Oryctolagus cuniculus: one gene and its partners. The protein of the gene in region 1 interacts with the protein of each later gene in a biochemical or structural test. Links are inferred from orthologs where the notes say so. Each region holds a gene or a part of one and is shown in the gene's direction. Other genes may lie near its edges. The genes, in order: UBC, BRAP, UBE3A, KHNYN, EPN1, UBE2K and UBXN7.

Region 1 (3,942 bases):
GGGTTTAAGGGGTGGAAAAGTCCTCTAACAATGCTCAGGTAGATCTTCCCAGATCCACACAGCCGCAGGTTACCACAGCAACCACACAGCGGTTGTTCTGCCGGGGCTTCTCGGTGACATGACACTTGTAAAACGGTCTTCCCCTCTAAGGAGGGGCTGTGGTCCCGCCTCCGCCCCATCGTGGCAATGGAACATTCTAGAAGAGTCGCACAGCACAGCGTGGGGAGGGGGGGACTCGGGGCACGAGGGGGCAAATCCACCGCTAACGTTTAAGAGCCTCCAGCTCACCTGCTGGTCGACGCCACGATTCTCCCAAACACCAGGACACGACCCCGTGGCTGACCGTGCCCCTCCCCCTTGTGATCACAACGCGAGGTGCGCGTTTCATGCATCGGATCCCGGAAACACAGAGCGCAGCTTCGGTTCGCGTCCGTAAAAAGGCCCAGGTTAAAGCCCGGGCCGCACCAGGCGCCTCCGGCGGCGGCTTCCGGGGAGAGCCTGGGCGGCCGCGACCAGCCGCAACCAGCCAGCGCTGTCGGGGTCCGCCGTGGCTCCCCGCGGGTCTGCGCGCCGGCGGCCCGGGGCCGGGGCCGGGGCCGCGGAGGCGAGGGCAGGATGTGTCCAATCACCGGCCCGGCCCCCCACGAGACCACGGCGGTCACCTCAAACGCGACCCCACAGAAAGCCCCCTCGAGGTCACGGGCCGGGGGGACAGAGCGGGCCGCGCGCGGGGAGGCCCGGATGTGCCCAGTCACGGCCCGGCCCCCACGAGACCACGGCGGTCACCTCAGACGCGACCCCACAGAAAGCCCCCTAGAGGTCACGGGCCGTGGACACAGTGGGCCGCGGAGGCGAGGCCCGGATGTGCCCAGTCACGGCCCGGCCCCGACGAGACCACCGCGGTCACCTCAGACGCGACCCCACAGAAAGCCCCTCGAGGTCGCGGGCCGGGGACAGAGCGGGCCGCGCGCGGGGAGGGGGCGCCGGGCCGGAACCCCCGCGGGCCGCCCACCGACGGGCCGCTGCGGCCGAGGGGACGGGGCGCGGGGCGGAGCCGAAGCCCCCGGCCGCCCGCCCGCTCCGGGCGCCGCCCGGCTCCGCGCCGGGTCTTCCCGCCGCCCGCGCGCCGGCTCCCCTCCCCCAGGGCGGGCGCCCGCACGTCGGCCGCAGCACGCAGCAAACGCCCTGATCCCTCCGCCGGGCCCCTCAGGGCGGCGGCCCCTCCCCTCCCGGGCCCGGCGGTACCGCCCCGGGCTCGACCCGAGAACGTTTTGTGAGGGGGCCGACGGCCCCGGGCGCAGGGTTCCTTCCCGGAGGGCGGAAGAGGCTGAGGAAAGTAGTTCCTTCTCGGCGTTTCTGCGGAGGGATCTCGCCGGGGCGGCGGCTCGCCGTCGGACTATATAAGCGGGCGCCGGGCGCGGCGCAGCCAGTTCCGTCGGAGCCGGAGTTCGGTCGCCTTCATCCTGCGTACAGCTGCCGCCGCCGCCGCCGCCGCCGCCGCCGCCTGGTGAGTGGACCTCGTCGTGCTGGCCGGGGTGGGGGCGGCCCGCGGCCTCTCGGCCGTGAGGGAGGAGGGCGGTGCGGCTGCCCGCCGCGGGCGGGACGCCCTCCCGGGCGGGTAGTCGGCTGGGGTCGCCCCGCAGGCGGAAGAACCGACAAGATGGCGGCGCCGCCGAGCCGGGAGGTCAGGGTGCAGGGCGGACAGGGGCCGGAGAGCGCCGAGCGCCGCGAGGGTCTGAGGAGCGGAAGGCGGCGTCGCCGGGCCGCGTTTGGAGACGTGGGGGAGCGGTGTGGCGGGGCTGACGGGCAGCGCTGGGCCCCGGTTAGGGGCTGGGGAGTAGGGAGGCGCCTCGGCGCGGGGCTGCTCCAGCGGGTGGGGGGCGGCTCGCGCCGTGACGTCACCCGCGTGTTGGCACACAGAGCAGGGCGGGGCTGCCTCCCGGTGTGGGTGGCGTCGGTTTCTGTCAGTTGCAAGACACACGGTTAGGGCCTAGGCGAGATCCTGCTGAGTGGACGGGAACGCGAGCCGGAAGGGGGGAGGGACGGAAAAGCCCTGAGTTCACTGGTCACGTTTCCCTGCTTTCTTCATAACGAAGGGTCTGAGGCTGGGGTTTTGAAGTAATTTTTCAGGTTTGTGTTTGGTGTCCTTTGGAGTTCCTAAGCAAGTTATTAATTTTAATAGTGTAGATAAATAGACGATATTCAGTCTTTAGGAATATTAGTGAATTGTTTGCTGAATTTTTTTTTGTTTCTTTTTGTGTGTTTTCTCATAACAGACAATGCAGATCTTCGTGAAAACCTTAACTGGCAAGACCATCACCCTCGAGGTGGAGCCCAGTGACACCATCGAGAATGTCAAGGCAAAGATCCAGGACAAGGAGGGCATCCCCCCTGACCAGCAGAGGCTGATCTTTGCCGGCAAGCAGCTGGAAGACGGCCGCACCCTGTCCGACTACAACATCCAGAAGGAGTCCACCCTGCACCTGGTGCTGCGCCTCAGAGGTGGCATGCAGATCTTCGTGAAGACCCTGACCGGCAAGACCATCACCCTCGAGGTGGAGCCCAGTGACACCATCGAGAACGTCAAGGCGAAGATCCAGGACAAGGAGGGCATCCCCCCCGACCAGCAGAGGCTGATCTTTGCCGGCAAGCAGCTGGAAGACGGCCGCACCCTGTCCGACTACAACATCCAGAAGGAGTCCACCCTGCACCTGGTGCTGCGCCTCAGAGGTGGCATGCAGATCTTCGTGAAGACCCTGACCGGCAAGACCATCACCCTCGAGGTGGAGCCCAGTGACACCATCGAGAACGTCAAGGCGAAGATCCAGGACAAGGAGGGCATCCCCCCCGACCAGCAGAGGCTGATCTTTGCCGGCAAGCAGCTGGAAGACGGCCGCACCCTGTCCGACTACAACATCCAGAAGGAGTCCACCCTGCACCTGGTGCTGCGCCTCAGAGGTGGCATGCAGATCTTCGTGAAGACCCTGACCGGCAAGACCATCACCCTCGAGGTGGAGCCCAGTGACACCATCGAGAACGTCAAGGCGAAGATCCAGGACAAGGAGGGCATCCCCCCCGACCAGCAGAGGCTGATCTTTGCCGGCAAGCAGCTGGAAGACGGCCGCACCCTGTCCGACTACAACATCCAGAAGGAGTCCACCCTGCACCTGGTGCTGCGCCTCAGAGGTGGCATGCAGATCTTCGTGAAGACCCTGACCGGCAAGACCATCACCCTCGAGGTGGAGCCCAGTGACACCATCGAGAACGTCAAGGCGAAGATCCAGGACAAGGAGGGCATCCCCCCCGACCAGCAGAGGCTGATCTTTGCCGGCAAGCAGCTGGAAGATGGCCGCACCCTGTCCGACTACAACATCCAGAAGGAGTCCACCCTGCACCTGGTGCTGCGCCTCAGAGGTGGCATGCAGATCTTCGTGAAGACCCTGACCGGCAAGACCATCACCCTCGAGGTGGAGCCCAGTGACACCATCGAGAACGTCAAGGCGAAGATCCAGGACAAGGAGGGCATCCCCCCCGACCAGCAGAGGCTGATCTTTGCCGGCAAGCAGCTGGAAGACGGCCGCACCCTGTCCGACTACAACATCCAGAAGGAGTCCACCCTGCACCTGGTGCTGCGCCTCAGAGGTGGCATGCAGATCTTCGTGAAGACCCTGACCGGCAAGACCATCACCCTCGAGGTGGAGCCCAGTGACACCATCGAGAACGTCAAGGCGAAGATCCAGGACAAGGAGGGCATCCCCCCCGACCAGCAGAGGCTGATCTTTGCCGGCAAGCAGCTGGAAGATGGCCGCACCCTGTCCGACTACAACATCCAGAAGGAGTCCACCCTGCACCTGGTGCTGCGCCTCAGAGGTGGCATGCAGATCTTCGTGAAGACCCTGACCGGCAAGACCATCACCCTCGAGGTGGAGCCCAGTGACACCA
Region 2 (3,500 bases), about 3.9 Mb from region 1:
AGCAGTTAGGGTGCCTGCATCCCATATCGGAGTGCCTGGTTTGAGTCTTAGCTCCTCTGTTTCTGATCCAACTTCCCTGGGTCTCCCACACAAGTGGCAGGGGCCAGCCAGCTGAGCCATCTTCCACTGCTTTCCCAGGCTCATCATCAGGGAGCTAGGTCAGCAGCAGAGCAGCTGGAACTCAGACCAGTGCTCTGCTACGGGATGGTGGGTCAAGGCGGCGGCTTTACCCACTGTGCCACAGCGCCAGCCCTGGAGGCAGCCAGTATCGATGGTGCCAGTGAATAGTCTTCTAGACCTCTAGCTCTGCCCACATGTCTCACAAAATCTTTTTGTTTATTTATTTATTTGAAAGAGTTACACAGAGAAGGAGAGGCAGAGAGAGAGGTCTTCCATTCGCTGGTTCACTCAGCTAGCTGCAGCGGCCCTAGCTGTGGCAGTCTGAAGCCAGGAGCTTCTTGCAGGTCTCCATGTGGGTTCAGGGGCCCAAGGACTTGGGCCATCTTCTACTGCTTTCCCAGGCCATAGCAGAGAGCTGGATTGGAAGTGGAGCAGCCGGGACTCAAACCGGTGCCCACCCAGGATGCCGGCACTGCAGGCGGTGGCTTTACCTGCTTCGCCTCAGTGCTGGCCCCTTTTTTTTTCATACTACACATTCAGATTCATGTTCTTTGTATCAGTTGCTTGGTACTCCAATATATGAATACACCATAGTAATTTTCACTTTAATTTACTTATTTAAAGGGCAGCGAGACAGAGACAGAGTTTCCATCTGCTGCTTACTTCCCAAATGCCTACACTAACTGGGGCTGGACCTGCAAAAGCCAGGAGCCTGGAACTCAGTCCAGGTCTTCCATTGGGGCAGGAATCCAAGTACTTGATCCATCATCTGCTGCCCCGAGGGTACAGATTAGAAACAGAAAGCTGGAATGGAACTTGAGCCAGGACACACCCAGGCACACTTTTGATATGGGGCGTGGATGTCCCAAGCAGCATCTTAACCACTCTGCCCGTGCCCATCCAGTGTTAATCAGCTCCCTGATGATAGACACTTAAGTGAGCTCAAGTCTTACACTGTTACAGTCAGTGCTGTGCTAAGCATCTTCTCCAGGTGTCTTTTTGCATAGTCCTGAATATTTTTATTATATAGAATACCTGTGAAATCAGACAACACCCCCTGAAATTTACGCTGAAATGTGGCCCCTTAAAGTTCACTAGAAATGCTATCCGGGGTGCCACATGCGCTACTGGAATTTGGGGTGCCTTACGATTATTACGATTATTAGACTTATTACCAAATCCCCGATATTAATAAGCCCGAGAGGGTTCTTGCCTAGTATTTAGAGAAGAATTCTAAATACCGGCACAGATAAACGAGGCAGCATGGTATGTTTTAAGCTTTTATTTAGTAAGAAAGGTGCATAAGAGAGTGAGAGCTTTATTTAGGGGAGAGAGGTGAATAGGGGTTCATACCAAGCACAGGAACCAGCCACGTGGATGAGCATCTAGGCCGGGAAGCCTAGAGCACATGGCCCAAAGGCCACGCACCCTGGAGGCGCAGGGCTACAGCAAGCCCTGTCCTGGCAAGAGGTCAGGGAAGAAGAGCAGGGCCGGGCACACGGTGCCCCAGGCTTTTAACCCACTTCCAAAGGGGAGTGGTTAATTAACCTGATTGGCTGGTGGGCACCCCGGTGTGGCCAGGTAGGGGAATGAGGCCACATAGGGGCGTGGCAAAGGCATCAGGTAGGAGCATGAGGTCACACAGGGGCGTGGTTTTCCAGTTCACTAGTCTGATCAATTTTAACCTGTATGCCTGTCTACTTCACCTGTGTCAAAGGACCTGTGAATTTTCTCCTCCTGCAGCCATTGCCAAGTTGACTTCCAAAGTCTTTCTCCAGCTGATGCTGCAGTGCCAGTGTGTAGGAGTGCCTCTTTTCCCATGTCTAAGCTCCCTGGCATTCTGATACATAAAAATGGTATCTCAGATGGTGTTTTAATTTGTAATTCCTCCCTTATGAGTAAGATTGGGCAGCAAGAATGGGACACTCCCAAATCCTGAAAACCCTTTGGTTAGAATAAGCACGTTTTTTCCCTTCCCCAGCAAATGCAGTGAGGTCAGAGCACTTGACTCTTCAAGAATGTCACTTATCCTCATAACTTCCTTATCACAGTTGTCTCTAAGGCACCTGTTTAACCACTGACCTCAGAGGAGCAGAAGTTTTGCCATGAGTCACAGAGTAGTTTCTGCTATTGGAAAACTTCTGATGCTTAAAACAAAAAGTATCTTGAACACTTGGGTTAACTGGAGCAAAATTCTTGCTTTGTGCAGCTGACTGCAAGGTCGGCAAACAGCGCAGGAGGGAGGGGTCTGTTCTCAGTGGATTCTGAGGCTGTGGCTCCTCTGTGCAATCCCAGAGCAGAAAGAGGACTGTGTCAGCAAATGAAAATGTGCTTTGTCTTCCTTTGTTTTGCAAAAGGTGCACTCAGCTAAACACAAAAGTGGCCAGACTCACAACTGAACTTAAAGAGGAGCAGGAAATGAACAAATGTTTGCGAGCCAACCAGGTCCTCCTGCAGAACAAGCTGAAGGAGGAGGAGAGGGTGTTGAAGGAGACCTGTGACCAAAAAGACTTGCAGATAACAGAGATCCAGGAGCAGCTGCGTGATGTCATGTTCTACCTGGAGGCGCAGCAGAAGATCAACCACCTGCCTGCTGAGGCACGCCAGGAAATCCAGGAGGGACAGATCAACATCCCCGTGGCTGCTGCCTCCAGCCCCTCCTCGTCAGGGGGCCCTGGGAAGCTGCCCTCCAGGAAGGGCCGTAGCAAGAGAGGCAAGTGACCTTCCGAGAGACAGACCTCCTGAGACGGGGGTGTGCCGGGACCCTCAGCTCCCTGTGTGGGTGGGCCCTAATAAGTGCAAGTGAGGATCTCGCCACAGTCGTTCGGCTTTTTCATTTGCTGGTGTGCGGTGTGTGGAATGTAGAGGGTGCCGACGGGAGAGCTGATGGAAAGTTGAATAGTTCACTAACCTCAGACGTTCTGATGACCACTTTGCCTTCCTGCTTGGTAGATGTCCCAACTCTGCTGTTCATTTTTCTCTTGTATTTATTGAGTTGGTATTCTTGACATACAGTTCTGGGGTAGGTTTAAGACATTAAAGGTTGTTTTTTTTTTTTTTTTTTTTTTTTTTTTTGTAACCTCAAAGGTATTGTTAACTAGCACTAAAGCACCACACCTCCCTGAGGTGGCCACAGCTGCTTTGAAGGTGGTTCCCATTGGCTACGGAGAAGTTAGGAAAATTCCCTGGCCTAGTCTCCTGTCATTGTCATCCCTCCCTCCCTCCCTCTGGGGAGTTAAAGAATTGTTTGAATGTTGGATGAAAAGAGACTGGGGTTGTAAAGCCGGCACTGGCCTGTGGCCAGCAGCCATCTCTTCTTGCTCTCAGGCTAGCCAGAAAGCACAAATCACCAGGGGCCGACTGAGTAGACCCAGTGTCAG
Region 3 (4,300 bases), on another chromosome or scaffold:
GAACTTTTTGAAGTATTCTCATCTTTTTATAGTGATTGTAAGTCTTATTTATGGGCATTTCCTGAGATTATTTACATATACTCAGACAACTCCTCACCTTCATCTGGATTTAAAGCCCTGTGTTCATAGCTATGGAAGTACAGGCTCAAGCATTGATGTGTCAGCACTTCTCTATGGGTTCTCAGATACCTTGATGTTTTTTATTTGGCTCTGGGTCCATGCTGGTAACTGCCTTCTGTGCTTGTCTGTTGTTAGTTTGAACGCATTAATTATGAAAGATCATTCCCTTCTAATTTTCTCATCTTCCCTTAGTTGCTCCTCAGATAGTGCCTGAATAATGCAGTTCAGTAGGGGAATTACAAGAGGAAAAACTAATAGTTTGAAAGGATCTCTTGATACAAGGCTATATCACATGTATGCTGTGCTTGCCAAAACCTGTAGTATAATTAAGGAGATCTGCAAAATTTGGACCATGACAATTAGGAAAATTTAGCTGAGGCCACCTTAAAAGGGGGTAAAAGATAACTTGGTTGAAAGGAGGATATAATTTCATAGTTTTATCATAATCTTTCATGAAATTGAATCTAATGAGTTTGACTGGAAAGACTAGGACGTATTTTCATGCAGTAACCAAGGAGTTTTGGCTAATGTGTGGTGAATCTACGTAAATATGGAATAAGTAACACTTTGGTTTGTATATGTGCGTGTGTATGTATATAACTATTTCTTTAAACATTTTCATTTTTGGTGATTTGTTTTCTTCATCTGTTTAAGAACCCTATCACTAAAATGTGTCATATTGAACCTGTTGCCATAATTTTGAGGTCTCAATCCATGTCCTAATTTTTTTGCTCTTACATTAAGTAGCGAAACTAAACCAAAATAAAAATTCAGCCTCCAAAATCCAAACTTCTTTATTCAGTAAATTTGCATTTTATTACTAGTTTCAGCACTAATTCTAAAATCTTGGGCAAGTCAGTTAATCACTCTGAGGCTGCTTGATTTTTTAAAGTTCTTATGTATGAAATAGCTTTATTAGTTAGTCAAGTTGTCTTGAGATTCAAGGTAATTACCAAGCAGAGTGCTTTGTAAACTCATAACATTACACAGAAGTAGAAGGTATTATCACAGATTGAGTTTCCTTTGTCTGAAATAATTGAGACCAGAAATGCTTTATTTCTGAGTTGTTCGGATTTTGAATACTTGTATAGACTTTATTGGTTGAAAAATTCTATAATTTGAAAATCCAAAATGCTCCCAATAAGCCCTCAGATTATTTAGGAGCATTTTGGATTTTCAGGTTAGGGATGTTCAACCTATACCATGTTTTCTCAATGAAAATATCATTTAAGAAAACAAAATGCTGAAGAATAGTTCTTTGTAGTAATTATTCTTCTGATGAATTTTGCATTGACACCTAATTTAAAGTTTCAAATTATTATTTGAACAATGAATTGGATTTATATATTAAAGTGTTCTAACTAAAGATTTGTTTAATTTATTAGAGTTATTAAGCCTACGCTCAGATCAAGTTAGCAGCTAGACTGGTGTGCCAACCTGTTTTTAATCAGTGACTCAAAGCTGTGATCACCCTGATGTCACCGAATGGCCACAGCTTGTAAAAGGTAATTTTGAATGTTATGTTAGAGCCTTTAAAAGGCTGCCATTGTAAAGTGAAATACATGCTGTAAAAATGGAGAAAATGTGTAGTTGGCAGAAACACTGCCAAGAATAGTGGACCTAAGAGTTGATTTATTTCTTCATTTAGTCTCATTCTGAAATATTTATTTTTTTCCCCTCATTCAGAATATCAGTAGCCACCACTGAAGACTTATCTGTGTGGATAAACAGGAAAGCATTTCTCAAAAAATTTCAAGTTGTAACATATAAACATTTTATTATATACATTGTAAAGGAGATTTGTAATATTTCTTAATAAACATTTTAAAGTGTGTCTTTTACGTGGTGGGTGTTTTAATTAAGATACGTTTCTAGAAATTTTTATAACTTTAATAAAACTAGTATACTTTTCTCTCCTAGAGAGTTACAGTGGAGGTAAAAGGAGTGGCTTGCAGGATGGAGAAGCTGCACCCAGTATTATTGGAAGTGAGCCACCGTTTGAATTTGCTAGCTAATGCTGCAGTATTCAGATTAGTGGGTGTTTTGTGATCATACTTTTTGCTATTCAAATCAAGACTTAAAATTGAGACTTTTCTAAGCTGTATTTTCTATTTTTTTAATACTACTTAGTTATGGCTTCGTTTTTAAAATTTTCTTTCTGCTTTGTTACTCTGCTGGTTTAAGATAACAATGGCTTTTTTTTTTTTAATTTAGTAAAATTATGAGCACATAGTGGATTGTAACTCCCAACATCTTAGCAGTAAAGAATAAATAAGCTCTGAAGGAGCCAGAGTAGAGTGTGGGAACTGTTGTATAAGGGGGCCTTAAAAAAATTCATGTCCTGAAAAAAACATGTAAAAATTTAAAAGTTTTTCTGTATCAAAATTGTAATTCCATTTTTCCACAAAGTTTTTGAAGTGCCTTTGTGTGTTTCATAGTTTGAAGAGTTTGTATCCTAACTTTAGGATAATTTTTGGTAACTTTAAAATATTATTGAAATGTTTAAGCAAGATGACTAGAAATTTATTGAGAAATGGATCATTAATACTGCAAGAAGAGTGTTTATTCTCTGTATATTCATTTTTCTCTCGATTTAAAAAACATTTCCTATTTGAATAGAAAGTAATATGCTATATATGAGACCCAGAATAGATTTATTTTAAGGAAAATTTTTCAATTTTTTCTTATTGTTTTGTTCTTTTTCTAGACTGGATTGGTTTAAATTATTTGGTTTGACTCATAGACGGTTTTTAGTAACTCACTTTAACATACATAGATATTAAGTAATTATCTAGTATAACAATAGTGACATTTTGATACAAGTGATCACATACTGTTTAGGGGAAAGAAATTGGGAAAAATTGATGTTGAACTTTATCTCTGTCCTGTTTCAGAATCTCAAGACTTTGCAGCCATTATATGTTTTACTTTAAGGTTTGAGCTTGTTTTCCTTTTTGGCTGTGTCTTTCCTTTTTTTGCAGTACTATTTTAATTTTCCTATCATTAAGTCCCATTTTTCCCCTCACCTTGCCCTGATAATTTTTAGAGTTTGATACCTACATGTTTGAAAGCTTCTAATCTGCCCGTCTTCCCTCAGTGCCAGCACGAATTTAGTTTTTGTTTTGCAAGCCAGCTCTGTCTCTTTATAGTATGATATCTGATGCTAGGGGGTCACACTTGGCAAAAATGAATCAGCTGGTACATGGGCATATCATCAGTTTTTAGCTCTTCTGTCTAAAAGATACTAGTTTGGAAGCAATCTTGGGGTACTTACCCCACAAGGCTGGTAGAGACCAGGTGTGTCACAGAGGTGATTTGCTTGATCCCTGGGGAGAGGGTAGAGTGAAATTTTTACATTGTGTAACTTCAAAGTCACTACCACCTCCAGCATGCTCCGGTTTTTAGTTCTTAAACAATTTTCTATAAAATTTAAATATACTGGAAAGATCTAAAATAAATATTTGAGCTGCTGGAGTATTGCGTCCTTCGAATATGAATAGACTACAGTGAGTGTAACTTTGAAACCCTAATAAAAATTTTTTTTTGAAGCCCATAAATTTGGGGAACATTTTCTTCTAATGACTCTGATTTTAAAATTCTTTTAAGTTTTTTTTTTTTAAGTTGGATATCTGAAGTCTGATAAATTCACAAATCAAGTCCTTATAGTACCAATTTGATATACAGGTTTTGACTTCAAAGAAAATTTTTTTAACCTTTATTACGAATTTGAAACATTAGAAATTGGTATTATGTTGCTGTACATTTTTTTTTTAAATAAATTTGTGTATTTTTTATTTGTAAGAGTAACAGTTTGAGAGAAAGAGAGATCTTCTGTCTGCTGATTTGCTCCCACAGTGGCTGCAATGGCCAAGGCTGGGCCTAGCTGAAGCCAGGAGCCTCATTGAGGTCTCCCACATGGCTGGTAGAGTCTCAGACACTTGGACCATCATCTGCTGCTTTTTCCAGGCCGTTAACTGGGAGCTTGATTGGAAGTAGAGCAGCTGGGACACAAACTGGAACCCATATGAGCTGCCAGCTTTGCAGGTGGTGGCTTTATCCACTACAACACAACACCAGCCGCTGTTGGATTACTTTACAGCAGTGGTTGACTAATGCTGTTTATAAAAATGAATAAGGTAACAGGCTTTTTTTTTTTTTTTATACTGTAATAGTCATGGAA
Region 4 (3,965 bases), on another chromosome or scaffold:
TTTGCTGGGTCTTTCCAGATCCTCAGGACAGGGTTAGGGGATTACCTGGTCAAAGTAGATGGCCCCAGTGGTGCCATTTCCAGTCTCCCCAGCTGGCTCGTGGTGGTGGCTCCGGACCGCAGCGAATGCCACTCGTCCAGGGGGTGCCTCTCCCAGGGCTGCACCTCCAGGCCCCCCTGCTGCAGCTCGGCCAGGCTCACAGACCACCAGGCATTCCCCCTCCAGCAGAACAGGCTCAGAACCCTCCTGGGCCCACACGGCCCCCAGGACCAGAAGCACTAGGGCCAAGCACAGCCTGGATCTGTGCAGGGCACCTGGGAGCTGGTGTCGCTTTCCTCTTGACATAGCTGAGTGGTTCTGCCACCCCTAAGCCCCCTGTCTCCTACCTCTTCCTGCTCCTTTCTGCTCCCACTCTGCCCTCTCTCCAGGTCTCACCACCACCTGGCCTTGGTACCTCCCTCCCATACTGCTCTATGTCCCACGCGCTGTCCTGCCTCCCACTCTGCTACTCCTGCTGTCACTGCAGTCCCCTCCTCCTTGGCAAAGCATAAAGTGACAGCAGTTGGGCCCTGGGAGGGAGAGGAGGGACGATGCCAGGGCGGGAGGCCTGCAGCCAACCCGGAGCTCCAAGGCAGCCCCTCTGGAGAGGTCAGCAGGAGGCTGGACCCGGGCGGTGGAGAGCAGGGTGGAAGCTCCTCCAGCCCCCACCCCCATCCTCCTCACCCCTCCTCTCTTCAACATCCCCCACGGCGGCATCTTTCCATTTATCTTTTCCAAAACCACGGCTGTTTTTGGTGGCAAAGCACTTGGGCCAAGAGCGTCACTATCTGGTGACCTTGGATCAGTCACTTTCCCTCTCTGGTTTAACACAGCCTCAAGGACCAGCTTTCCACCAGGGGTTCCTTCTTCCCGAGAAACAACTGCGCAGAGCGTGGCGGGAACCCCAGGAACCCCGATAGGCCGGGGAGCGAACCGGTCGGCGGGCGCGGGCGGATCCCCGAGGGCGTGGGGGGTGGGGCGGGGGGCGGGAGCGCTCAGTCCGGCCGCGGGCCAGGCCCGCTGCAGGCCCAGCCCCGGGAGGAGCCGCGCTGACTCCGCCCCAGGCCAGGAAGTGACTGAAAAAAACAATTTTGAGATGTGGCGGAGAGAGGTCCCCGTTGGGTGAGCAGCCCGGGAAGGCCCGCCCAGATTCCGGCCCCCTGCCCTTGTCCCCTGGGCTGGGGGCGCGGGCGCAGCCGGGGGCCCGGAGGGCACCGAGAGGCGCCAGCGGCACCCGAGGCCGAAGCAGGCGGCCGAGGAGGTAGGTGCCCGGGAGCACGGAGCCGGGGGCCGGGGCGGGGAGCGCGGCCGCAGAGGCTGTGGGCGGGTCGGGCCCAGCCCCTGGGCCCCCGGCGGGGCGCGTGGCGCGACGGAGGGGGCCGCGGAGGCTGGGGGAGGGGCGGTGGCGGGGCGCGGGGGGCGTGGCCGAAGCCTTGGAAGTGGCCAGCCCGGGGCCCGGAGGGCAGCGGGCTTCATTTTTAAGAAGCCACTTGGGCCCCGGAGGAGAACCAGCCCCCGGCCCGCCGGAGCGCCTCCCTCCCTGCTCGGGGTCGCTTAGGCAGCTGGGTCCGGGTGACGTCCCCTAGGAGAGGACGCTGCCGTTGCCTCCCTGTCCGGGAGATGGACTCCTGCTACCTCCTGGGGCTGTTTACCGAAGTCGTGACTAATGCGCGACCTGTTGATGGTTGGTGCGGGCGAGGGGACGGTGAGACTCTGAGCCGCCTTCTCCCCTTCCAGGGCCGGGCGCAGCAGCCATGCCCACCTGGGGGGCTGGTGCCCAGTCCCCTGACCGCTTTGCGGTGTCTGCGGCGGCAGAGGACCGGGTGCGGGAGCAGCAGCTCTGCGTGGAACGCATCTTCGGCGTGGGGATGAGCGTCCTCCCTAAGGACTGTCCCGAGAACCCTCACATCTGGCTGCAGCTTGAGGGCCCCAAGGAGAACGTGAGCCGAGCCAAGGTGACGCCTCCTCTCCGCGGGTCGCTCCAGGGCCCCGGGCTCCTTCCCCGGTGGAGGAGGGGCCTGGGGAGGTGCCTACAGCCTCGGTGCACCTGGGCTTTGCAGGACTCCCCGCCTCTGTTTGTAGTTTTGGTTTCGTTTCTGCCGGGGGCAGTCCAGGTTCTGTCATGACTTGGGAATGAGTCACTGTGTGCCCTCTGGGATGGTAGAGAGAACGCAGCTGACCTAGTGGGGCCCCCACCAGGGAATTCACTGCGGGGTGGAGGTGTGGCCTCATGGCTTCCTCTGGAGTCAGGCTGGAGTTTTAGCCTCAGTTTCTTGATCTGTAAGATGGGGATAATAGCAGTGTCCCTCTGGATAACTCCAGGCTTCACACCAGGAGCTCAGGGGAGAGTCTTGGCCTGAAGTCATTGAGGATTCTAGCAGCCTCTTCTGTCTGGCCTTTCCCACAGGAGTACCTGAAGGGGCTGTGTAGCCCGGAGTTGCAGGAGGAAATCCACTACCCACCTCAACTGCACTGCATCTTCCTGGGAGCCCGGGGCCTCTTCCTGGACTGCCTGGCCTGGAGCACCTGTGCCCACCTAGTGCCTCGGGCGCCTGGCTTGCTGGTGGTCGGTGGCCTGACTGAAGCCTTTGTCATGGCTCAGAGCCGGGTGGAGGAGCTAGTGGAGAGGCTGAGCTGCGACTTCCGGCCCGGGCTTTCGCCCGGAGCTGGAGTGACAAGCAACTTCTCCGCCCTGCTGCAGTCCTGGCCGGATGACCACAGGGCCGCCCTGCTGCAGCTGCCCCTGGCTGTCCAGGAGGAGCTGTTGAGTCTGGTGCAGGAGGTGTCCAGGGGGCGTGGGCTGCAGGTGCCCCCGTCCTGGGAGGGGAACCCCAGGGAGCTCAGAGCTCCCCCAGGGGAAGCCAGAGGCTCCCTAGACATGGGGTCTATGGGGCAAGGAGATTGCAGGATGGCAAGGGAAGAGGGTCATGCTATGCTGAAGGAGGTGGGCAGACTGGGTGGTCCCAGGGAGATGGAGTTGAGGTGGAAGGAGCTGCCTGGGGGAGAGGCCTGGGAGAGAGAAGTAGCTTTCAGGACACAGACAGCAGGTGGAAGGACCGGGGAGGAGGGACCCCTGAAAGGCAAGGCCCCGGGGAAGGAGGGAGTGCCCCAGGAGAGAGGAGGGCTCAGCGTCCAAGGTGAGCCTCCTGGTGCCCACGGCCCCTGTCAACGGGCGGCGCAACGGGGAGCCTCCCTCCTCCAGCGGCTCCACAACGGGAGCGCCTCGCCTCCAAGAGTGCCTAGCCCTCCACCCGCCCCTGAGCCCCGCTGGCACTGTGGGGACCGGGGCGACCGCGGCGACCGGGGCGACCGGGCAGACAAGCCGCAGGCTGGGGCTCGGGGCCGGGGCTCCCCGTGGAAGCGAGGTGCCCGAGGTGGCAACTTGGTGACCGGCACGCAGCGTTTCCAGGAGGCCTTGCAGGATCCCTTCAACCTGTGCCTGGCCAACGTGCCTGGCCAGCCAGGCCTCCGCCACATTGTCATCGATGGCAGCAACGTGGCCATGGTGTGAGTATGGGGGGAAGGGCGAGGGTCCTGGGGAGGGGATTGAGGCAGGCCTCTCTGCCCGCCTTGGGGACACAGGCTGAGGGTGTCCAGAGCACTGACCCTTCCCGCTGCAGGCATGGGCTCCAGCACCACTTCTCCAGCCGGGGCATTGCCATTGCCGTGCAGTACTTCTGGGACCGTGGTCACCGGGACATAACCGTCTTTGTGCCTCAGTGGCGCTTCAGTAGGGATTCCAAGGTCAGAGGTGAGTGCGGCCCCGGCCACCCGCGTCCTGGCGTGGGCTCTGTCCGCGCCTTGAGCTGCCTGTGTATTCCTCTCTTTCTGTAGAGAGTCACTTCCTGCAAAAGTTGTACTCCCTCAGCCTGCTCTCGCTCACCCCTTCGCGAGTCATGGATGGCAAGAGGATCTCCTCCTACGAT
Region 5 (3,967 bases), on another chromosome or scaffold:
CGGGTGTGGGGAGCAGATGGCCCGGTGGGCTGGAGGAGCCAGCTCTGCCCCCCAGCAGAGGCTGCAGGAAGCGGGGGCCTGCCTGGATGTCGGTGCTGGGCGGCTGGGCCTCTGGGGTGGACTGAAAGGTGGCCCGGCCCGGGCTGCCCGTCCTGTCCTCCACCCGCGGCCCGCACGGTGGGGTGTTCCTGTGCTCTGGGGCCGGCCGGGTTCCGTCTGCCCGCCCTGCGTGCCGGCCGTCACCGGCCCAGGCACCCCGGGCCGTCGGGTCCAGGCGAGGCAGGGCCCTGTGCCGCCTGCTGGGCCGTCCCGAGTGGCCGCGCTCACGGGCCGCCTCTTGTTCCCGCAGATCTTCGTGGAGTTCACCTCTGTGTTTGACTGCCAGAAAGCCATGCAGGGGCTGACTGGCCGCAAGTTCGCCAACAGAGTGGTGGTCACCAAGTACTGCGACCCCGACTCCTACCACCGCCGGGACTTCTGGTAGAGGCGGTGGGGGCGGAGCGGGGCGGGGCCGGGGGCGGCTCCCCCTCCACCCCTTTCCCCTCCGAAGAAGGGCAGAGGAGTGACGGCCGAGCGACAGCGGCAGCACCTGGACGGCGGCGACGGGGCGGGCGGGCGGCGCACGGCCCGCGGACCCGCGCACCCACGCACGGGCGGGGTGGGGACGGCCCCGCGCTCCTCCCGACAGCCTCTCCTCCCCAGCCCTCTCCCCTCCCACGTAGGAACATAGCGTGTTTATATTTTATGGCCAAACTATTTTGAATTTCGTTGTCCGGCCCTCCGTGCCCTGCGCCCCGGCCCTGGTTTCTTACGTAGTTGACTCCGCCCCTGGCCCCGCCCCGCCGCCCCGCCCCCTCTGTGGCAGTTTCATATTTGCTAAGACGAATTTGCTCATTAAACATTTTGTTGTATTTTACTTGGCGGCGGTGCTCTGTGTCCGGTGTCAGCGGCCTCCTGGCCTTCGGGTCTGGGCGCGGGGAGGGTCCCAGGAGCCGCGCCTCGGGGCGGGGGCGGGGGCGGCCCCTCGGGGCGGGCGGGCGCGCGGCACTCGGCGCGGCTCCGGGGCGGCGGGCGGCGGGCGGGCGCGTGGGTGCGTGGGTTCGTGGCTGCAGCCGGAAGTGGCGTCAGGACGCCAGTGACGACAGCGCGCGCCGGAAGTGATGCCGCCGGAGGGCCGGGCCGACGAGCGGGGGCCGTCGGGCGCGGCGCGGAGGGGCTGCGCGCGACACTTCCGCTTCCGGCCCGTCGCCGCCTACGGTTGCTTCCCGTTCTCCGGGCAGCTCCCCTCCCCCGCCCGGCTCTCTGCGCCCCTCCCGGGCGGCGGGGCGGCGGGGCCGTCGGCGTGCGGCTGTCCGCGCGTGCGCCGTCGCCCGCGGCCCGGCGCGCGCCCCGCGACACCGAGGCCGACCGGGGCCAGGGGCTGACCGCCATGACCCCCCGCAGCCCGGCGTGAGGAGGGCCCGAGGTGAGCGCAGGGCGGAGCGCGGGGGCGCCGGCCGGGCCGGGCCTCTCCGTCGCCTTTCGGCCTCTGGGTGTGGGGCCTGCGTGCCGGGGCGTGCCGTGCGTGTGTGTCCGAGCCCGCGTCGCTGCGGGCGGTGGTCCGCGATGGCCAGGGTTTCGTGGGTGACTTTGCGGGCTCCTGTGCCTGGAGCCCCCTGTGCGCGCCCCGCGCTGCACGGGCTGCCCTTGTCATTTCGGCCGCCGTGCCTGTCACTTGCAGCCCCCAAGCCGCCGTGCGGGTCGCGGGCCCCAGCGGCTCGGGCCGGGGTCTGCGCCCGCCCTTCCGCGTGCGAGCCGCGGCGGTGGGCGCCGGTGCGGGGCGGCAGCCGCGGGAGTCGCCGAGTCCCTTGAACTCTGGAAGGCCGCCGCCTTGGCAGCGGTGTGTGTGGTCTTGGGCTCGGCGCCCTGCGGGCCCGGGGGTGGCCGTGGCCGGCCCTCTGCGCCTTGTGCGCCCGGCCTGCGTTTGCGGCCAGCTTGCCGGGTGCCGGCGGCTGGGCTGGCCCAGATCAGACCCCAGACTTCGGGGTCTCCCGGTTACGGTCCGGTTCTCCCGTCGTCTTACGTGTCCGCCCCAGGCCTCTCCCTGTGTCAAGGCCACTGGGTTCTCTGTCTTCCCAGCTTGCCGGCTGTGCGTCCCCTGGTCTGTGCCTGTCCCTCCCTCCCTCTCTCCTTCTCACGTCCCTTCCTGGGTGGGCTTGTCCTGGGACCCCGGCCACTTCCTTATAGCTGGTTCCTTCTGTCTCCAGGCCCCAGGCTCTCTGCCCTGAGTTCAGCCGGGAGAGGTGTGCGTGCCCCGGGCGAGGGAGTTCCCTTCTCTGGTCCCCTCCAGGGTGGCGGTGAATCCGGGCGTGGAAGGACAGAGGATACATGGAAAACACCAACGGGCCGGGGCCGTGTGAGTGCTGGGACCTCACTCAGGGTGATGGGTGGGGGGAGGCCGGGGGTCAGGTGTGGCGGGGCCATGTGAGTGCTGGGACCTCACTCAGGGTGATGGGTGGGGGGAGGCCGGGGTGCAGGTGGGCCGGGGCCGTGAGTGCTGGGACCTCACTCAGGGTGATGGGTGGGAGGAGGCCGGGGTGCAGGTGGGCCGGGGCCGTGTGAGTGTGGGACCTCACTCAGGGTGGCCCGGCGCAGGGGGCGGGGGAGGGAGGCCGGGGTTCAGGTGGGCCAGGGCCGTGTGAGTGTGGGACCTCACTCAGGGTGGCCCGGCGCAGGCGGGGGGAGGCCGGGGTGCAGGTGGTTATCTAACCTCTGGGCAGCAGGGTGTTGTGGGAGATAATAATGGCTGAGTGCCCTTATCTCCGCTCCCTGGGCCTCAGGCTCCCACGCCCTCTGCTCGGGGACCTCACTCCTCACTCCTCGTCTGTGCCCCGTGCTGCCACAGCTCCCCTAACCCCTGCCTGGGGAGGCGTTTGGCTCCCACTTTGTTGACTGAGTGAGTTTCCGGGCCAGCCTCTGATGGGAAGAGCTCCCTCCAGTCACGGTGCGCACGGCCCGCCGGGGCTTGTGGTTGGCTTTAGCCGTGCAAGGGGACAGCGTGCGCAGTCACGGGTACTGCCGTGACCCTGGGGCAGCGCCGGGCAGTGAGGCGGAGCCCGTGGGGCGGGGCGGGGTGGAGAGTGCGTGGCAGGCCAGAGGGCCTCGTGGCAGCGCCGGTGGCCTGTGTGTTCCCTGGTTTACCGCATGCACCCCGTTTCACGGCAGAGAGAAGGGAGGCGCAGGTGTTCTCCGCCTGCGGGGGCGCTGGGTCTGGAGGCGCGCGGGCTGCGCCCGGCCCGGCCGGCTGGGGCCCCTGCCTGGCATCTGCCGCTCCGCTGTGCTTCGCTGAGCAGGGGCCTGGCCCGTTTGGGGAACTGAAAGGAGGATGGGAACTTTGAGAGCGGAGGCCGACGGGGTCTCGTCGCTGAGACCCTGAGGGCAGCGGGGAGCCACGGGAGGCGTGGGAGCTCAGGCTCCAGGCAGACCATGTCTGGTTTGTTTCCCAAGGTCCTCTCCCCTCTCAGATGCGGTGAGCTGCCGGCACCCGCCCGCCGCCCCGCCTGCACAGCCCGGGGGGCCCGCGCCCCTCGCCGCGGCCGCCGGGCACCATGTCCACCTCGTCGCTGCGGCGCCAGATGAAGAACATCGTGCACAACTACTCGGAGGCGGAGATCAAGGTCCGCGAGGCCACGAGCAATGACCCCTGGGGCCCGTCCAGCTCGCTCATGTCCGAGATCGCCGACCTCACCTACAACGTCGTGGCCTTCTCCGAGATCATGAGCATGATCTGGAAGCGGCTCAATGACCACGGCAAGAACTGGCGGCACGTGTACAAGGTGGGCGCGGCGCGGCCGGGGCGGGGCGGGGCCGGGGCGGGGCGGGGCGGGGCCGGGTGTTCTGCACTTAGCAGGCAACAGGCAGGACCTTTCTAAAGGTTTTGGGCTTTGTGATTTAAATCTACTTAAAAGTGTTTGTTGTTTGAGAGGCA
Region 6 (3,048 bases), on another chromosome or scaffold:
TTGCACTTAGTAATCCTGCCCTTCCTAAAGGTATGAACAGATACTTTGCTGTGGGAACATCTAGATGTGGTCAGTAAGCTGTTCTCTACCTCATTAGTCAACAGGAAAATGCAAATGCAAATTAAAGTGACAATTGGATACCACTGTGTACCTGTACATCTGCATCCCTCATACATTGCTGGTAGGAATGTGGCTCAGCCACTTAAAACCAGTAGTATCTACCAAAGTGAAACATAAAACTTTGGTAGCTCAGCAGTTTTACTCTTAGATATATGTCGAAGAGAAATGCAAAAACACTTACATAAGAATACACGCAGCAGAATACACCTGGAAATAACTGAAATGACTTATCAACAAGAGAATCAGTATATTGAGTATAATCATACAATGGAACACTAAAGAGCAGTAAAGTCAAGCACACTATTGACAGAAACAGTATGGATTATTTTCACAGATATGTTGAGTGACAAAAGCCAGACACACAAGAAGATATACTGTATGGTTAGCTTTTTTTGAAATTCAAGATAAGCCACAACTAATTTATGGTGGTGGGAATTAGGGCATTGGTGTGTGTAGGCAGGAGTTGGAGAGGGAGAGGAATGAGGCTTTTCAATGTTAGAAGTACTCTACATTTTGATCCATATGGTTACATGGACATAGACATGCATAAAAATCCATCTGGCTGTACAGCATTTTACTCTTCTTATACTTAACCAATTGTAACAAAACAAACACCATTCTCTTCATGTAGAATTGTTTGGAATGAACGTGGGTTAATTTTTGATCTTCTGGAAGATCCTTAACAGAAAAGTCGGTCAACAATATGAACAGTTAGATGGTTATTGTAAGACTTTATTGAGTACTTTGTGAATAAATAAGTACCCATATTGGCTATGCTTATCAATTTGAGCAGTATTAATACTTTAGATTTATCTTTTACTGACTTGTATCATCTACTAATTAATAAAAGTTAACACCTTTATTTGAAGGGCAGAGCTACAGAGAGACAGAGGCACAGAGAGAGAATGGTCTTAACATCTGCTGGTTCACTCCCCAGATGGCCACAGCAGCTGGAGCTGTGCCAATCCAAAGCCAGCCCCAAATTTCATTTTCTTCTTTGCTATTAGGATTTATTTTAATAGATTTAAACTATTATCACTGAATACTAAAAATCTCAGTATACCATGGATTTAATCAGTACTTTGTGAAAAGAATTAATGGAATAAAAAGGTTTTCAGTTGCATACTTTTCCACATTACTTATATTTTAAAATTAATGTAGAGGGGCTGGCACTGTGGCGTAGCAGGTAAAGCTGTCACCTGCAGTGCCGGCATCCCATATTGGCGCCGGTTCGGGTACTGGCTGCTTCACTTCTGATCCAGGTCTCTGCTATGGCCTGAGAAAGCAGTGGAAGATGGCCCAAGTCCTTGGGCCCCTGCACCTGCGTGGGAGACCCAGAAGAAACTCCTGGCTTCTGGTTTTAGATTGGCACAGTTCCAGCTGTTGAAGCCATCTGGGTAGTGAACCAGCAGATGGAAGACTTCTCTTTCTCTCTGCCTCTGCCTCTTTGTAACTCTGCCTTTCAAATAAATAAATCTTTAAAAAAGATAATAAAATATATGTAGAGCAGTCCAAAGCTTTCTATGCCTTTTTTTTTTAATAACATAAAAGATTGGTGTCATAAGAATAGGTTTTATTTTGGTATTACTTTTCTTAATTCATTCTTAAGACAGTGTCATTGCTTATAATTGATTTGGGTTCAGCTCAAAAACTTTACATTTAAAGATTCTTTTAGGGCCGGCGCCACGGCTCACTAGGCTAATCCTCCGCCTTGCGGCTCTGGCACACTGGGTTCTAGTCCCGGTCGGGGCACTGGATTCTGTCCCGGTTGCCCCTCTTCCAGGCCAGCTCTCTGCTGTGGCCAGGGAGTGCAGTGGAGGATGGCCCAAGTGCTTGGGCCCTGCACCCCATGGGAGACCAGGATAAGTACCTGGCTCCTGCCATCGGATCAGCGTGGTGCGCCAGCCACGGTGGCCATTGGAGGGTGAACCAATGGCAAAGGAAGACCTTTCTCTCTGTCTGTCTCTCTCACTGTCCACTCTGTCAAAAAAAAAAAAAAAAAAAAAAAGTAAATTTCCCTAACTTTGTAATTAAGATAAAAAGTTGCTGGTGGTTTATGTTTTATTCAGATCATATCCATTTTGCCTCACAAAACACAGGCTTCCTAACTGGTATATTTTCTTATTTTAGGGCAGCAGCAATGACTCTCCGCACAGTATTGTTGTCATTGCAAGCACTATTGGCAGCTGCAGAACCAGATGACCCACAAGATGCAGTAGTAGCAAATCAGGTACGATGGCTGCTTCTGAAAGATTTTCTTATACACATAGATGAGTCTGTACTTCTGTGGTTTGCGGTGTTAACACATGAACATATTCTATTGGAACTGAATTTGGAAAAGGTGTCCTTTCTTGTAGTAAGATTTGTCAGATGTAAAGATGAACATTTATTGATTAACATACTAGTTTACAGGTTTATGTGGTGGAGACTGTTTTCTTAATATATAAAAATGTTAAAGTCAAAAGAATTATATGATGAGCATCCATACCTGATTCCCATTTTTCATACATGACCCTCTGTGCCTCTGTGCACCTGTCCTTCCTTCTGTTCAGTGCAGATCTCTCCCTGGTGATCATTTCAGTCACTTCCTACCAGGGCTTCAAAGTGGCATGGCCGTGGCCTTGTAATTTGACAAATGGAAGAAATATTTTTCAGTTCTGCTCTTTGATCATTCTAAGGCAAGGGATCAGCGAATTAAGTTTTGCCAATACTTGATTGAAATAATGCCACACCATTTTGCTTACTCTGCTTTCCCACTCCAGGGGCAGCGGTGAACAGAGACTGTCGTCTGAAAGCACTAAATGATTAGTATCTGGCCCTTTAAAATAAGGGGAATAGGAGAGGGAGAAGGGGGTGGGAGTGTGGGTGGGAGCGCAGGTATGGTGGGAACAGTCACTGTTCCTGAAGTTCTGTTTATGAAATGCCTGA
Region 7 (4,198 bases), on another chromosome or scaffold:
GGCCAGCTCTCTGCTGTGGCCAGGGAGTGCAGTGGAGGATGGCCCAAGTCCTTGGGCCCTGCACCCCATGGGAGACCAGGAGAAGCCGCGGCTGCCATTGGAGGGTGAACCAACGGCAAAGGAAGACCTTTCTCTCTGTCTCTCTCTCACTGTCCACTCTGCCTGTCAAATAAATAAATAAATAAATAAAAATAAAATAAAAGGCCACTGGGAGGGCTGGTGCTGTGGCCCAGCAGGTTTAAGGCAAGGTCTGCAGCAGAGGCACAGTCATTGTTACTGGGTCAGTTCTCCAGATGACTCATGCCATCTTTCACTGGACCATTTTCCTGTAAAGATGCACAATATGCAGATGGAGGTGGGAGGCTGGAACATAAACTCCATGTCTTTAACTTTATTTTCAATTTGGGGAGTGTCAACCGATTTCAGTGTACTCTACACACAAAATTGTCCTAAAAATATTTAAAACTATGCAAGTAACACTAATACCATCTGAAATCGTGTGACACTACTATGTTTTTGTTTAAAAATAAAGGATTTAAAAAAAAGTCCACATTCACAATTCTCCCTATCGCTCTCCTCTCTAGAAGCAACCATTAATTGAGGTTTGGGACACTTCTCCAGGGTCCTTTCTGTACATTTTCTTTTGGCGCAAAAACACTTCCTTTTTTTTTTTTTTAAAGCCATCTGGTCACACCCCCTTTATACAGTTTTTTCACTATTCAGAATTCAGGGACTACCCACAGGGGCACTGTGTTGCTGAGACGGTGTTACACACGACTTAACCACGCTGCTTCCCTCACGCCAAAGCCATGTCCTCATTTCACAGGTGAGGAAACTCAGCGAGACCCTGAGGGGAGACTTGCGTTGGCAAGTTCAGTGACGCAAAGCAAACGAACAATCCTCCATGAAACCTCCCGTGTGTCGGAGCCCGCTCCCACCGCCTCCCTGGCGCGCGGGTTTCTGGCGTTTCACTCCTGCTGCGCTAGGTTAGCTAGGCCGTTAGTTTATAGAGGTTAGGAAGCCGCTTCGGCGCTAAGATGTAGGATTTCTATTTTTGATGGGAACCGCAGGAAATTCAGTAGCGTGCAGTGGAGCTGCCAAAAGGATAAACGCCACCATCAGCAGTTGGATCTATCGACGAAACTTGTTTAATAGACATTCGAAAGACCTACTACGGAAGCCAGGACTCCAAACCGAGTCCATCAAGCTGGCCTGGCAGCTCAGAGAGGCAGGCGCTAGAGGTTTGCAATGAGGATGCGGCCAGCAGGCAGCAACAGAGCAGCCAACCCGCGGAGCGCACAGAGCGCTCCGGCGCGGTGGGCAGTGCGCCTGCGCGGGCCGCGGGGCGGGGGGCCCGGAGGGGCGGAGCCTGGGGGCGGTCAATGAGCCTGCGCAGGCCGCGCGGCGAGGTGGGGGAGGGCGGTCCGTGTGTGTCTGTGTTGTTGTTCGGCGGCGGCGGCGGCGGCGGCGGCGGCGGTAAGATGGCTGCCCACGGGGGCTCCGCGGCGTCCTCGGCGCTGAGGGGGTTAATTCAGCAGTTCACCGCCATCACCGGTAAGAGACGCGGTTACCGGAAGGTGGAGAGTGGGGTCCAGAGCGGGCAGCGGGTCTGCCCCGGGCTCGCCCCTTACCTTCATGCGTCCCTCCCTCGGGCTTCACCCACAGCTCTCGTCCTCCCTCCGGAGGAAGAGGCGACGACGGCGTCGGGGTCTCCGGGTTCAGGCGGGAGACACCCCCCCGCGCGCTCCCCTTACCCTCCTCCTCGATCTCCTCGCAGTTCGAAGGGATAGCCCCTTTTACCTCCTGCCTGCCTAGACAGGGGATGGGTCGGGCCCTCCGCCCTCGCCGGCCGGGGGACCTGGGGGCGGGGAGGAGTGGGGGGCCGCACCCGGGCCACCGCCCTCCTCCATCATCGTCTCCTCAGTGTGCAGTCCTGGGGTGCCGCGCATCCCCTCACCTGCCTTTCCCTTTCTTCCCGGCCAGGTCAGCCTCTCCCCGTGAACCCTCCCCTCCCCCGGCGCTGGCCTGCCCTTCCCCTTTCTGGGCCCCTTGGAGCCATCGGTGTGGCCCTGGCGTGTTCGGGCCCTCCCGCCTTCACGCGGAGGCTGAGGGGTACGGCGGCGCCTTTACACATCCCAGGGGACAGGCCGCCAGAAATGGGGGTGCCGAGGAGTACCTTAGAGACCGAGGCTTTAGGAGAATAGTGAGGGGGCACCCCCAAGCTGAAGACGAGAGGCCTGGAGGAGTCCTGGGTGGCGTTTCCCACCTCCCCATAATAAAATCGTAACGATTGAGACCATGGCGCCGGGGCCTCCTGCTGATAGAATAGGGAAGACGGCAGAAACTTCTCGGGGAGAAAATGTGCGGCTGGGGGTTAGTGTCCCCCAAAACCCTAGGCCTGGTTTTTCCCTTTGCTCTGGACCCCTGCGAAGGGCCCAGACAGGTCTTACCGCCTGGAGGAGAGGCCCTGAGCCATTCTATGAATTCTCTAGGTCTTGTTTCTCTCTGATGGTGCTGAACTTTTTTTGCATGAGTTATTAGAGGGCGGAGCAAATGATGAAGTTCTCCGTGGAGTGATTTGAGAGACGAGTACTCCATGTGCCTGAGTGTAATTTTGCCGTTCTGGTTTGTCATTTTGGAAGGAGGTCAGAATGTTAGTTCCTTTTCTTAACAGATCTGTACTTCGTGTGGTAGCGGTTTGTTAGACACAGAGAATGTTTCCACCGGGTCATACTTGGACATGCAGGATATGGTTAAGTAGATTTTTAGGTTGTTTTACCCAGTACAGGTTTTATTGAAGTTGCTGTTTCATAACGAAAGCAGTTTTATTTATTTATTTATTTGCTCTGCAATGATAACTGCATGTTTGATGTGTTGTTATCTGGTTTGTGGCATGAAACATGACGTCAAAGTAGGTAAAGGGAAATTTGTGATGAAAGAGTGATGAGGAGTGAGTGGTAGCTTTTCATAATATCTTTAAACGTGTGATTGGTTTATTAAAGTTGTAATGGATTTCCCAGTGTTTAACCAGATTTGTTACAGAGACAGAAAATCATTGTGTAAATAAGTTAGTATGCTACATTATATTTGTAGAATTAAAGTGCACATTTATGTATCTTTAGATTTTCTAGAGATGGTTTAAAATGCCATTTAATTGCAGTTTCATATATGACCCTTACTATTAACTTTTTTTTTTAAATCTTTATTTTATTTGAGAAGGAGAGAAAGGGAGAGGTATCTTCCTTCCAGCTGCTGGGTCACTCTCCAAATGCTCACAGTAGCTGGGGTTGGGCCATGCTGAAGCAGGAGCCAGGAACTCCATCCTGGTCTCCCATGAGGTAGCAGAGACCCAGGTACCCGAGACATCACCCGCTGCTTCTCAGGGCGCGGGTTAGCAGGAAACCGGGCTGCAGCTGAGCTGTGCCACACAGGATGTGCACATCACAAGCCGGGTCTTCACTGCTGTGCCAGATGCCCACTCCTCACTCTCTTCTCCTGCAACATTTTTATTAGATATACATAAAGCTCAAAGTATGGTGAGACAGATTGACTCCTTACTTGCTATAGGGCTGTTTTTCAGTTGGACAGCTTGTTTCCTGGTTGCAGGTCTCTGTATTGCTGAGTCTGATTAGAAGTCCCTCAGTAGACCAGTGGTGTCTGGAATTCTACAGAATGGCAAATAACCTTACACTGTTCTTGATGTGCAGTGAATTTCTATTGATAATTTTTGGGTCTGTTTTTACTAGATGGTGATTAGCCATTAGAAACACATGATCCCTTTAAGCCAGAGGTGAGGAACCATTTTTCTGCCAAGGGCGATTTGGATATTTATAACATCATTTGCGGGCCATACACAATTATCAGCTTGAAAATTAGCCTGCTATAGATTTATTGAATTCCGAGTCTCACTGGCCGTTGCCTTGGCAGGGCCAGACCAAATGATTTCCCTGGCCTTGTATGGTTTGTTGCCTGGACATTCCTCACCCCTGCTTTAAGCCTTTTTCCACATACCTTAGAATGAACTTTTCAGCATTCTAAAATGTGAATTCTCATGTATTTTTTATTTTATAAAATATATAAACATAAATATGTCTTTATATATTAATATATAAATATATCTATATATTGAATATAAATATAAATTTTATATATTTAAAATATAAATTTATGTTTATATTATATAAATAGATGATATGTT

Evidence for each region.
Region 2: the proteins of UBC (region 1) and BRAP form a complex in vitro, tested with the Homo sapiens proteins (3 studies listed by BioGRID, with this or other methods). The link is inferred for Oryctolagus cuniculus from reciprocal best matches to the Homo sapiens genes UBC and BRAP.
Region 3: of the proteins of UBC (region 1) and UBE3A, one has a biochemical effect on the other in vitro, tested with the Homo sapiens proteins (5 studies listed by BioGRID, with this or other methods). The link is inferred for Oryctolagus cuniculus from reciprocal best matches to the Homo sapiens genes UBC and UBE3A.
Region 4: the proteins of UBC (region 1) and KHNYN form a complex in vitro, tested with the Homo sapiens proteins (3 studies listed by BioGRID, with this or other methods). The link is inferred for Oryctolagus cuniculus from reciprocal best matches to the Homo sapiens genes UBC and KHNYN.
Region 5: the proteins of UBC (region 1) and EPN1 form a complex in vitro, tested with the Homo sapiens proteins (6 studies listed by BioGRID). The link is inferred for Oryctolagus cuniculus from reciprocal best matches to the Homo sapiens genes UBC and EPN1.
Region 6: of the proteins of UBC (region 1) and UBE2K, one has a biochemical effect on the other in vitro, tested with the Homo sapiens proteins (18 studies listed by BioGRID, with this or other methods). The link is inferred for Oryctolagus cuniculus from reciprocal best matches to the Homo sapiens genes UBC and UBE2K.
Region 7: the proteins of UBC (region 1) and UBXN7 form a complex in vitro, tested with the Homo sapiens proteins (4 studies listed by BioGRID). The link is inferred for Oryctolagus cuniculus from reciprocal best matches to the Homo sapiens genes UBC and UBXN7.

What each region holds. Positions count from the first base shown.
Region 1 is NC_091452.1:5,127,075-5,131,016, forward strand, and holds the start of UBC (polyubiquitin-C), read left to right. Parts: upstream 1-1,142; 5' UTR 1,143-1,507; intron 1,508-1,961; exon of another isoform or gene 1,962-2,130; intron 2,131-2,276; 5' UTR 2,277-2,279; coding exon 2,280-3,942.
Region 2 is NC_091452.1:9,035,212-9,038,711, reverse strand, and holds part of BRAP (BRCA1-associated protein), read left to right. Parts: intron 1-2,477; coding exon 2,478-2,841; 3' UTR 2,842-3,500. UniProt on the Homo sapiens protein: Negatively regulates MAP kinase activation by limiting the formation of Raf/MEK complexes probably by inactivation of the KSR1 scaffold protein.
Region 3 is NC_091443.1:14,372,259-14,376,558, reverse strand, and holds the start of UBE3A (ubiquitin-protein ligase E3A), read left to right. Parts: upstream 1-1,500; 5' UTR 1,501-1,605; coding exon 1,606-1,625; exon of another isoform or gene 1,626-3,446; intron 3,447-4,117; exon of another isoform or gene 4,118-4,256; intron 4,257-4,300. UniProt on the Homo sapiens protein: E3 ubiquitin-protein ligase which accepts ubiquitin from an E2 ubiquitin-conjugating enzyme in the form of a thioester and transfers it to its substrates.
Region 4 is NC_091443.1:50,772,363-50,776,327, reverse strand, and holds the start of KHNYN (protein KHNYN), read left to right. Parts: upstream 1-1,165; 5' UTR 1,166-1,300; intron 1,301-1,776; 5' UTR 1,777-1,793; coding exon 1,794-1,994; intron 1,995-2,446; coding exon 2,447-3,546; intron 3,547-3,659; coding exon 3,660-3,790; intron 3,791-3,873; coding exon 3,874-3,965. Other genes in the region: CBLN3 (cerebellin-3), read right to left, coding at 46-345.
Region 5 is NC_091449.1:3,324,471-3,328,437, reverse strand, and holds the start of EPN1 (epsin-1), read left to right. Parts: upstream 1-1,167; 5' UTR 1,168-1,465; intron 1,466-1,785; exon of another isoform or gene 1,786-1,879; intron 1,880-2,246; 5' UTR 2,247-2,395; intron 2,396-2,584; exon of another isoform or gene 2,585-2,597; intron 2,598-2,819; exon of another isoform or gene 2,820-2,935; intron 2,936-3,486; 5' UTR 3,487-3,587; coding exon 3,588-3,815; intron 3,816-3,967. Other genes in the region: U2AF2 (splicing factor U2AF 65 kDa subunit), read left to right, coding at 350-484. UniProt on the Homo sapiens protein: Binds to membranes enriched in phosphatidylinositol 4,5-bisphosphate (PtdIns(4,5)P2). Modifies membrane curvature and facilitates the formation of clathrin-coated invaginations. Regulates receptor-mediated endocytosis.
Region 6 is NC_091433.1:33,602,561-33,605,608, forward strand, and holds part of UBE2K (ubiquitin-conjugating enzyme E2 K), read left to right. Parts: intron 1-2,250; coding exon 2,251-2,350; intron 2,351-3,048. UniProt on the Homo sapiens protein: Accepts ubiquitin from the E1 complex and catalyzes its covalent attachment to other proteins. In vitro, in the presence or in the absence of BRCA1-BARD1 E3 ubiquitin-protein ligase complex, catalyzes the synthesis of 'Lys-48'-linked polyubiquitin chains.
Region 7 is NC_091435.1:82,954,044-82,958,241, reverse strand, and holds the start of UBXN7 (UBX domain-containing protein 7), read left to right. Parts: upstream 1-1,398; 5' UTR 1,399-1,481; coding exon 1,482-1,554; intron 1,555-4,198. UniProt on the Homo sapiens protein: Ubiquitin-binding adapter that links a subset of NEDD8-associated cullin ring ligases (CRLs) to the segregase VCP/p97, to regulate turnover of their ubiquitination substrates.